3 linked regions of the Macaca fascicularis genome follow. The protein of the gene in region 1 purifies or fractionates together with the protein of each later gene. This does not show direct contact. Links are inferred from orthologs where the notes say so. Each region holds a gene or a part of one and is shown in the gene's direction. Other genes may lie near its edges.

Region 1 (4,250 bases):
GAAGACCTTTGTTGAATTTAAATTAAAAGGCAGGATTCCCGTAAAGACTAGATTTGATTTGCATAATTGGCAGATGCAGGTAATAGATCCTCAGAAAATATTTGTTCAATGATTGAGGACAAAACGGGAAGGCACCTGAAGTGGTTGGGAAAGGCTTGCCAAGTCAAACTGAGTATGTATGTGTAAGGGTAATAGCATTTATTATCTACGATGTGCCAGTTACCGAGTTAAGTGCTTCACATAGGCAACAACTCTATATAAACTATTTTCAGTCCTGTGTTAATAGATAAGGCAGAGAAATTAAGTAACTCATTCAAGCTTCTAACCCTTGAATCCAGCAGATCTTTCCGGGTCCAAAGGTCATGCTCTTAGCCATCGCACTGCAGTCTGAATTCTGAACTTATGCTAGAGTGAAGTTTAAGGACTGCTTCTGCTAGAAAGAGGTGGAGACTGTATGGCGCACCTACCTCGCCAACATGTATAAGAATATAGGTATCCAAATTATTGATCAGAAAATCCTGCTGCCTTGGGTGATGAAAAGCTAATGGCAACAGAAATTGGGCCAGGAAGCCTTGTGTAGGGAACTATCTGGTCACATTTCTAAGTTACTTCCTTTTTTGTCCCAAACGAAGCCATAGTTTTCAAAGGAATAATGGCCTTGGATGTTGCTAAGATTGGCAGAGAGAGCTCAGGTGTCATCCATTCCGGATCATTCCAGGGAAGGGCATCCTCTACAGGGTTGTCTGCTTCGACGAGGAAGATTGCGGGCGGCAGTCTGACCCGGGAAAACCAGATGATTCCTGCTAAATACAATCATTTCCCAGATCTGATTAGCCTTAAATATGCCACAGCTCAGTTTGCAAAGTAGTAATTTTTTAAAAGTCTAGTCAAAAATTTTGGTCAATTCCAACTCAAGTATCCGGATCTCTAGCACTACTTCCCTCTAGCAATGCCATACACATCTAACCCTAAAACGAGGAAGCGTCCACTGAGGTTGCCCATTGCAGGATTCTGGTGTGTCGCTGGGCACATGCAAGTTCCTGAGTCAGGGGAGAGCGCCCACCGGAGACTGCGGGCGGGAGCCGGCGACGGAGAACCGCATGCCCAGCTCTCTGGCGTGAGTACGCAGGCCTCCTCCCACGGTCTCGGGAAGCCCAGACGCCGCAGGCTTCCTCGCAGTAGAGGAGCTGCCGGGGCGTAGTTCCTCCACCGCTTCCTCCTCCAGCTGCACCCAACCCGTCCTTTCCTGCTCTGTAGGGCCTCCCCACCTCCCGGGTTTGAAGCGCGCGCCACTGCCAGCCCGGGACCGCAGGGGTGGGCAAGGGAGGCGCACAGCCGCACGCCCGCCCGCAGTAGGCGACCCTGCCCCGCCCCTCGAGGCCCAAGGTCCCGCCCCTCGAGGCTCCGCGCCTCGCCCCCCGGGTGCCCCGCCCCTCTGCGTGGCTGGCGTGGCCGGTAGGCCCGGCTCCCCCAGGCAAACCTGTCTGGTTGGGGCGGGGAGCGGAGCTTCCTCCTCCGAGGGCCGTGCCGCGCTGCCAGATTTGTGCTTCCGCCCCTGCCTCCGCGACTCGGAGGCGAGCGGAAGGTACCCCGGGGCCGAGGCCCGTGACGGCGCGGGCAGGAGCCCCGGCAGTCCGGGGTCTCCGGCGCGGGCCATGTCGCTGTTGGGGGACCCGCTGCAGGCCCTGCCGCCCTCGGCTGCCCTCACGGGGCCGCTGCTCGCCCCTCCGGCCGGCGCGACCCTCAACCGCCTGCGGGAGCCGCTGCTGCGGAGGCTCAGCGAGCACCTGGACCAGGCGCCCGAGGGCCGGGGCTGGAGGAGGCTGGCGGAGCTGGCGGGGAGTCGCGGGCGCCTCCGCCTCAGGTGAGCTCGGGGCCGCGGCAGGCCGGGCGAGCGGGCCGAGCGAGGTGGGCTCCCGTGGGGAAGTGGGGGCGCCGTCGGCGGGGCTGAGCGCGGCAGGGGCCGCCGGCGTGAGTGAGCGGAGGTGGGGAGGACTTCGGTCATTGAGACGGAGCGGAACCCAGCAGCCCCCTGGAACGCCTGGGATTTGAGAGCGGAGCCCGGGGCTCCGGAGGGAGGAGGCAAAAGTGGCCCAGCGGCTGCTTAGCTCCCTGTTCCCACCCCCGCCCCTGGGTGAGAGGGAGAAGTCGAGGTTGACTCCGGAGGATAGTGAGAGAAGGAAAGCTGTCAGGAGACCCCTGGGATGGGGCAGTCATCCAGAGGACTTAAAATGCAAAAGAAAGGGATGTGGACACTGCCCTGGGAGACCTAAGGAAGGCTGGGAAGAAGCGCAGGCGAGGTGATGAATGCCGAGGGCGGGGTGCAGGAATTCATGAACATTTTGCAGGGTATTGGAAAAGACTGACGCCGAACTCATCATCTTCCTCCATCAAACCAGGTTACCACGTTCCCTTTTTGACTTCACCATGAACATGAAACTCGAATTAAAACTATTTTTCCTTATTAGGTTTGGAATGGCTGTATTAGAGTTCCTGAAGTTTTGGTCTCGAGACTCCTTTACCCTCTTAAGAATTATTAAGGACCCCAGAGAGCTCTTATGTGGGTTAGAGATAATACATACATGTAATATATACTGATATTTACCGCCATTGAAATTAAAGCTAAGACATTTTAAAAATATTATTTAAAAAGAATAACCCATTACATGGTAGCAGAAATAATACTTTCGTGGAAAAACAAATTTTCCAAAACAAAAAAGTCAATTAGAGAAGTGGCATTGGTTTTCGTTTTGAAGATCTCTTTAATGTCTTGGCTTAATCACAGAGCTGGATTCGTTTATGTGCTTCTGCATTCAGTCTTTTGCACTATTACAGGTCACAGGACACTGGAAACTGCAGTGTCCACTCCTGAAAGAATGAATGAAAAAGCTAAATAAAATCTTAATATTATTATGAAACATCTTTTTGACCTTGTGGACCGCGCGAAAGGGTCTCAGGAACTACACTAGGGGTTCCCAGACCCCACTTAGAACCATTACTTTATACCATTGTTGTAATTTTGGCCTGCCTTTGAACCCCTTAGCAGTTTTTTAAACTTCTCAAATGACTATGATTTGTCTTATAGTATAATTATTTGTACACATCTGTATAAATGCCTTAAGAACAGAAACCGTCTCTTAATATTGTTATGTGTAGAAGTTAGTAAATACTTGATGAAAGGGAAGTCATTTATTCAAAATGGTATTAAGTGCTTACTATTTGCTAGAAATTTTAGAAGATAAAAAACTTAACAAATATTAAATTACTAATCATAAGGGGTTATCCAGTAATGGACTATTATTTGGGGACCTTTACAATGACATTAAATGCTGTGTTGGATATGAATGATAGTGGATTTTTGTCATTTATTGAGGACATGGTATGTACCATAAAATGTACTAAATATTTACATGCTGCTGCTGCTGTTTCATTCTTCTTTGTTCTTCTTATTTTTGCATTATCTTTTTTTTTTCCCCCAAGATGGAGTCTTGCTCTGTCGCCCAGGCTGGAGTGCAATGGTGTGATCTTGGCTCACTGCAGCCTCTGCCTCCCAGGTTCAAGCAATTCTTCTGCCTCAGCCTCCCGAGTAGCTGGGATTACAAGCATGCGCCACCACGGCCCGCTAATTGTTTTTATTTTTAGTAGAGAGGGGATTTTGCTGTGTTAGCCAGGCTGGTGATCACCTCAGGTGATCCATCCGCCTTAGTCTTCCAAAGTTCTGGGATTACAGGCGTGAGCTACCCTGCCTGGCCACATTATTTTCTTAAACCCTCCTGTCAACTCTCAGTTTCAGAGTCTGGGATTGAGGCAAAGGGTAATAGTGATTTGGAATTATTGCTTGTGCAAAGGAGTAATGATGTAAGGAGGGAATAACTAGCAAGACCTAACAGAGAGGTGGCATTTTTTTTTTCTGTTCTGGGAAAAACATGTTGGGCTTTTGGATACGCAAAAAAAAAAAAGTCCAAAATACTGTTATGCTAGGTCCATAAATTTCTGAATTTCTGGACTTACCATAATGTAAAAAATTGTCTTTGGGGGCAGATCTCCAGAGTATTACAGTGTTAAGAGTACTCTAGTTAGGGAAGGTTCTGGGCTTCCTGAAGAAAGCCGGGTGTGGAGGACTCCTACATGGCCGTGAAGGAGGGAGAAGAAAGTCAGCAAGGCCCTGCCAGGGCAGAAGCATGGCTGCTGGAATCCAAAAGCAGTGGATACTTGATGTTGGGTGTTGTGTTTTCTTTGCCTGCCTTCGA
Region 2 (3,516 bases), on another chromosome or scaffold:
AGGAAGGAAAGAAGGAAGGAGATGGAGGAAGGAAGGAGGGAAGGAAGGAAGGAAAGGAAATGAAAGAGAAAAGAGAAAAGAAATAGCAGGAGAGTCAGTGGGGCCAGAGCCAAATAAACAAATGGTGCAGAAGGGAGTGGAAGGGATGGCGAGGTCCAGATCATGGGGCCATGGTAAGAACTTTGGGATTTATTCTAGTTGTGATGAGAAGCCTCTGAAGGATTGAGAGCTGAGGAGTGACGATTTATATCTGAGAAGGACCACTCTGGCTGCTGGGTGGGAAATAGACTCACAGAATATTTATTAAGCACCTGCCACGTGTGAGGCACTGTGCTAAGCGCTGTGGGAGACACGGGGATAAATCACGTGAGCTGTGCTTAGGTCACTTACAGTTTAGTGAAGCAGACAGATCTGTAAACAATCCACCGGGATTCAGGTGAATGGAGTCAGTGGCATAGCTGGCAATAGTGTTTTGGTTAGGAGCATGAGCTTTGTAAGTCCTGTAGTTTTGAGTTCAAATTCTGGCTTTATGCTTTACTACTTACTTAGCTATTGGCTTCAGTTTCCTCATTTGCAGATGGCAATAATGAAAGTAATAGCTGTGCCCTAGGATTGCTGGGATACTGAACCGTAAGCCTTGGGGCAGAGTGGCTGACCCTATAAGCACCCCGCAATGCTAGCACCCCATGCCTGCTCGTGTGGGACTTGGGACTTAGCATGGGACGCTTGAGTTGAGCTTTGAAGATGCTGAGGAGCTTTTTTTCCTTTTTTTTTTTTTTTTTTTTTTTTTTTTTTTTTTTGCATAAGCAGGAGAGATTTCTATGCTGTTTTTACCTAGGATTTGAGGAAGTTATCCTGTAGCAGGGACTTACAAGTTTCTCTCCTGGAACTTTCTCCTGTGTTATGTTTCCCTGGAGATATATTAATAGTGAGAAAGTATAAGTAGAATTTGGAAGAACATATGGCCAGCAGAGTCCCTGGCTGGTTTTCTTGGCCTCAGGCTGCTTCCTGCACGCCCATTTCTTCATCGTCTCAGGTTAATCACTGGGGTGCAGGAGCTGGACTTTTCTCACTAAAGCCACTGCTCTCTACCTGCCAGATTCCTTGAGACGATTCTCCCTCCAAGACTAGGTTTGAAAAAATGACACTCTCCGCTTTGGTGCCTCCTTTCTTTATAGCCCTTGAATGCAACCTTCTTATTTGGGATATTTTAGCCAAGCCAGTGTGTTTGGGGAGGCACACAGTTTAGTCTCACAAGTTGAAGAAGTCTTCTGCTGGTCCCAGTTCCTGACACTAAACTCTTGAGTGTGAAAATCAGCACATCTCCACTTGTCTCATTTCTAGATGCAATAGCTGCCTCCTCCAGGAAGCCACTCTTTCTGCCACTAAGTCTAGGGAAGTTCTTTAGGCCGGAGATCCTGTGAAATTACAATTAAGTGGATTTCAGGCTATCTTCTTCTTCAGTCACTCTTTCTGCCACTAGGTCTAGGGAAGTTCTTTAGGCCAGAGATCCTCTTAAATTACAATTCAGTTGATTTCAGGCTGTCCTCCTCCTCCTCCTCCTTCTTCTTCTCCTTCTTCTCCTTCTTCTCCTTCTCCTCCTTCTCCTTCTTCTTTCTCTTCTCCTTCTCCTCCTCCTCCCCTCCTCCCCCTTATTCTCCTTCTTCTTCCTCCTCTTCTTTCTTCTCCTCCACCTTATTTCTTCTTCTTCTCCGTCTCCTCCTCCTTCTCCCCCTCCTTCATCTTCTTTCTCTTTCTCTTCCTCTTCCTCTGCTCCTTCCTCCTCCTCCTCTCATCCTCCTCTTCTTTCTTCTCCTCCCCCTCTTCTTCCTCTTCTTCCTCTTCCTCTCCTTCCTCCTCTTCCTCTTCTTCTCCTTTCTCTTCTTCTGCTTCCTCTTCTTCTTCCTCTTCTTCCTCTACTTTTCTTCTTCTCCTCCTTCTCCTGCTTTTTCTTTCTTTTTCCTCTTCCTCCTCCTCCTCCTCTTCCTTTTTAGCAACAGTGCTATTTATCCAAATAAAATCTGTATGAAACCCCAAAGAACAAACCACACAAGCAGAGCTGTTCTGGGACGTGAAGTCAGGGTGGACGCCGAGAACCCCGATTTCTCAACCATCTCCTCCTTCCCCCTGGATAACCCTAGGATTCTTCAGGGGAATCCTTGAGTTCTGAGGATCAGAATTTGAAAAACCCATCAGAGAAGGGTGTTGACGTGAGAAACACCAACTTGGATCTCTTTTATCCCAAAATCCATAACCTGTTCCACCCGACAAAGGTTGAGGGAATTTTCTCTGAGGTCTGTAGCCCCTTTAGAGCTATTTCTAAATAGACTAATCAGGAACTCTCCATCAATAGGGAGATGATGGTTTGTTTTACTGGAGAAGGTTTCTTGAAGCCCTTCTCTGCCCCTGAAAGAAGGAGGGGCATAACTCAGGTTATGCTGCCAGCCCAGTGGAATCTGGGGTAGCGTTGCCTTTTCTGAGTGTTTCTTGCCACCTGCCTTCTCCCCTCGGCACCCTTGGGGTGTTTCAGATCGATCAGCTAAAGCACCGGTTGAATAAGATGGAGGAGGAATGTAAGCTGGAGAGAAATCAGTCTCTGAAACTGAAGAATGACATTGAAAATCGGCCCAAGAAGGAGCAGGTTCTGGAACTGGAGCGGGAGAATGAAATGCTGAAGACCAAAAACCAGGAACTGCAGTCCATCATCCAGGTGAGGGCCTGGGGGCGGGGCCAGCGCAGGCAGCGGGAGGGTGAGGGCTTGGGGTTGGGGGAGACGATGCACCTGCCAGGGTGTGAGTCCCAGAGCCTCACTCACACCACGCTGACTGCAGGATCACAGACATGCATGCCATCCTTGGGCACCTTTGTCTCCTCCTCTGTAAAGCGGTGACCACCCCACCACGCATTTGTCAGAGACAGGAGATCATACTTGGGAAAACATGTCCTTGTTTGAAGCACTCCAGGAAAATCACCATCCATGTGGAAATCAATGCCCTGGGCACTGTGGGAAGAGACAAGGACGTCTGGGAAACCTACACGCCCTTAAAGATTTCAGAAAACTCAACTCTAAGCTCTGTGCCACTTGTTCCAACCTCAAATGCCTCCCCGCACTTGTCAAAGTGGAATCACTTGTGGGCATGGAGGAGGAAGCTGCCGAGGAGTGACATCCCAAAACATATCTGCAGGGCAAGAAAAAAAACATGCATCCTCTGGCTCCCTCCAGAACAGTCCCCACCAGGAGCGGCTGCCTGGTATTTAAGGCTCTCTTTCGGAGCCGAGGGTGAACCCAGCTTCACCAGAACAGATTCCTCAGTATTTCAGGGACAGCATCTAAAAAGCCGATCCAGCTTCCCTTTGCTGTCACCTGTGAAGTGTTCTAGGTGCACCAGTTGCTTCTCTGCGCTCTAATAAGTGCCAGGGAGAACAAAAGGCCCAGGATACTCCCAAGCAGAAGCCAGTTTTCTGCTTCTTTCCAGGCAATAAACTTCTTAAATGATAAGCTTCTTAGAGACCTCA
Region 3 (3,516 bases), on another chromosome or scaffold:
CAGATTGAGACCCTGTCTTTAAAAAAAAAAAAAAAAAAGTTTATGAAGAGGCGGGGCTTTGATGAAATGACAAATTTTAACAAGTGGGCTATGTAAGTTATTTAAGAACATAGTACTGTATAGGACAAGCACATATGGGAAAAGCATATGTATTTCTTCTACTAATATTGTACATAATAGGGTAGGTAGAGTCATGAAATTTTATTTAAATTTATGAGGAGACCAAGCCATCATTTTAGCTCTCATATCTTCCTGTGAAATGGTAAAATATCTCACCCAAAAATATCTTTTTGCTTGTACTTAAATGCATTTATTTTTCTATCTTGAAATGTTTGTTTTTAACTTTGTTTTAACCCTTGAACTTATAGGGGTTTCCTGCAGAATTTGCCATGTACTTAAACTATTGTCGTGGGCTACGCTTTGAGGAAGCCCCAGATTACATGTATCTGAGGCAGCTATTCCGCATTCTTTTCAGGTCAGTTTTTAAGGTATTTTAAGATTATAAACTCTGTGAGGGAAATTGGTTAAATTTACCTAACAAATTCATTCTGATAAATACTAAAGTAAAGCAGATCTGACTAACATGAATAAAAGATTTAAGAAACTGATTTATTTGGGACTAATTTGGCATTTTTCTATTTGCAGTGTAAATAGGTGATTTTAGTTTGGAGTGGATAGAGAGTTGAATCATACTCAAAGTAGAATGTAACTTTTCCAGAATAGTTATAATTCATATTAGATATAAGTGGCTGTCAGTGCCTTCTGGAACTCTCCAACTTTGTTACAGTACCAAATAGAAAAGCAATTAAAATATCACATAGTCATGGAGTCTAATCAAGTGGTAGCAGTCCTAAACTCGGGTAGGGTTCCTTAGGCACAACCCAGAACTGGTCTTGAAAAAGCGGGGGGGAAATAGATTACATGTGGCTCAAACTCTTAGTTGGAAGAGAATAAGAATTGAGGTAATCCAGCCAGGTACGGTGGCTCACGCCTGTAATCCCAACACTTTGGGAGGCCAAGGCAGGCAGATCACTTGAGGTCCGGAGTTCGAGACCACCCTGCCCAACATGGTGAAGCCCCATCAAAATACAAAAATTAGCCAGGTGAGGTGGTGCTCGCCTTTAATCCCAGCGACTTGGGAGGCTGAGGCAGGAGAATCTCTTGAACCTGGGAAGTGGAGGTTACATTCAGCCGAGATCCCGCCAGTGCACTCCAACCTGGGTGACAGTGAGGCTCTGTCTCAAAAAAAAAAGAGAGAAAAACAAAAAGTAATCTGCCAGACACAATGGCTCACACCTATAATCCCAGCACTTTGGGAGGCTGATGGGGGTGGATCACCTGAGGCCAGGAGCTCGAGAACAGCCTGACCAACATGGTGAAACCCCGTCTCTGCTACAAATACAAAAATTAGCCGGGTATGGTGGCAGGCGCCTGTAATCCCACCTACTCAGGAGGCTGAGGCAGTAGAATTGCTTGAACCTGGGAGACGGAGGTTGCAGTGAGCCAAGATTGCACCACTGCACTCCAGCCTGGGCAATAAGAGCAAAACTTTGTCTCAAAAAAAAAAAAAAAAAAGAAAAAGAGAGAGAGAATTGAGGTAATCCTTTAACCCCAGAAAAGTGTCTTCCCAAGGCACCAGTCAGACATCTTATAACCAAACTTCCAGTTGAATATTTACTCTTACTTGTTTTTAGGAAGTACCTCCTCTTACGAGTATTCCCGTAGATAACTGACAGCTTGACTTGATGTTTCAGTTTTCATGTTGCCTTTTTTATACATAAGAGAAATATTTTAGAAGCTGCCACACTTGAGGAAATATTCATTGTGTGAAGAAATGCTCTCACTGTCTTAAAAAGTTAGTAGATTATAAAGCCGGGCGCTGTGGCTCATGCCTGTAATCCCAACACTTTGGGAGGCTGAGATAGACGGATCATAAGTTTAGGAGATCGAGACCATCCTGGCTAACATGGTGAAACCCTGTCCCTACTAAAAATACAAAAAAAAATTAGCCAGGCATGGTGGCGGTTGCCTGTGGTCCCAGCTACTCGGGAGGCTGAGGTAGGAGAATGGCGTGATCCCGGGAGGCAGAGCTTGCGGTGAGCCGAGATCGCGCCACTGCACTCCAGCCTGGGGGACAGAGCGAGACTCCGTCTCAAAAAAAAAAAAAGTTAGTAGGTTATATAACTGGACTCTGTTATTAAAGGATTAACATAAAATATTTTATGTTTTCCAGGACCCTGAACCATCAATATGACTACACGTTTGATTGGACAATGTTAAAGCAGAAAGCAGCACAGCAGGCAGCCTCTTCCAGTGGGCAGGGTCAGCAGGCCCAAACCCCCACAGGCAAGCAAACTGACAAAACCAAGAGTAACATGAAAGGTTAGTAGCCAAGAACCAAGTGACGTTACAGGGAAAAAATTGAATACAAAATTGGGTAATTCATTCATTTTTAACAGTGTTAGATCAAGGAGGTGGTTTTAAAATACATAAAATTTGGCTCTGTGTTAAAAAAAAAAAAAAGACGTCCTTGGAAAATTTGACTACTAACTTTAAACCCAAATGTCCTTGTTCATATATATGTATATGTATTTCTATATACATATATGTGTGTATATTTATATCATTTCTCTTGGGATTTTGGGTCATTTTTTAACAACTGCATCCTTTTTACTCATTCATTAACCCCCTTTCCAAAAATTTGGTGTTGGGAATATAATATAATCAATCAATCCAAAATCCTAGACCTAACACTTGTTGATTCCTAATAATGAATTTGGTTAGCCATATTTTGACTTTATTTCAGACTAACAATGTTAAGATTTTTTTATTTTGCATGTTAATGCTTTAGCATTTAAAATGGAAAATTGTGAACATGACGTAATTTCAAGAGGTGAGTCTGGCATGACCCCCGAAGTGTCTATCTTCTCAGTTGCAGAGCATCTCATTTTCTCTCTTCAATGCTCAAATAAACGCAAAGCTCAGCACATCTTTTCTAGTCACAAAATAATTCTTTCATTTGCAGTTTAACTACATATGATCTTAATTTCAAAACGATTCCTTTGTTTTTGGCTTGATTTTTTACAGTGTTGCAAATATCAGGCTCCCAGGGTTTAATGTGGAATTGAAGTCTGCAGTCAGGCCTTGCAAATTGAAGATAACTGGGGCAAATGCCATTGAAACCGCTAGTCTATTTCCTTTCTTCCTTTCTCTGGCACTCTTACTGCCTGTAAGGAGTAGAACTGTTAGGGCACACTGTTGCTATACAGTTTGACTCCCATTTTCATGTTTTGTGTTTTTTTTCCCATTTCTGGGGCTTACCTCCTGATACCTGCTTACTTTCTGGAAGTAGTGGGCAAGTAAGATTTGGCTCTTGGTTTCTAATTTTTAAATTTCTGAATGACTGCTCTAGTCTGAACTTGGCCTTTATAGATTAATCTTTGCTTCACATTTTTAGTGTTGTATTTAAACTATTTTATAATTTAAAAATAGATTCTAACCTGAAGATACTTTTCA

The links.
Region 2: the proteins of MALT1 (region 1) and CARD11 purify together in Homo sapiens (affinity purification with western blotting; 6 studies listed by BioGRID and IntAct, with this or other methods). This does not show direct contact. The link is inferred for Macaca fascicularis from reciprocal best matches to the Homo sapiens genes MALT1 and CARD11.
Region 3: the proteins of MALT1 (region 1) and CSNK1A1 purify together in Homo sapiens (affinity purification with western blotting; 3 studies listed by BioGRID and IntAct, with this or other methods). This does not show direct contact. The link is inferred for Macaca fascicularis from reciprocal best matches to the Homo sapiens genes MALT1 and CSNK1A1.

Annotation. Positions count from the first base shown.
Region 1 is NC_088392.1:22,306,358-22,310,607, reverse strand, and holds the start of MALT1 (mucosa-associated lymphoid tissue lymphoma translocation protein 1), read left to right. Parts: upstream 1-1,437; 5' UTR 1,438-1,655; coding exon 1,656-1,864; intron 1,865-4,250. UniProt on the Homo sapiens protein: Protease that enhances BCL10-induced activation: acts via formation of CBM complexes that channel adaptive and innate immune signaling downstream of CARD domain-containing proteins (CARD9, CARD11 and CARD14) to activate NF-kappa-B and MAP kinase p38 pathways which stimulate expression of genes encoding pro-inflammatory cytokines and chemokines.
Region 2 is NC_088377.1:36,476,988-36,480,503, reverse strand, and holds part of CARD11 (caspase recruitment domain-containing protein 11), read left to right. Parts: intron 1-2,530; coding exon 2,531-2,710; intron 2,711-3,516. UniProt on the Homo sapiens protein: Adapter protein that plays a key role in adaptive immune response by transducing the activation of NF-kappa-B downstream of T-cell receptor (TCR) and B-cell receptor (BCR) engagement.
Region 3 is NC_088380.1:156,385,609-156,389,124, reverse strand, and holds part of CSNK1A1 (casein kinase I), read left to right. Parts: intron 1-368; coding exon 369-475; intron 476-2,233; coding exon 2,234-2,382; coding exon of another isoform or gene 2,383-2,387; exon of another isoform or gene 2,388-2,495; intron 2,496-3,516.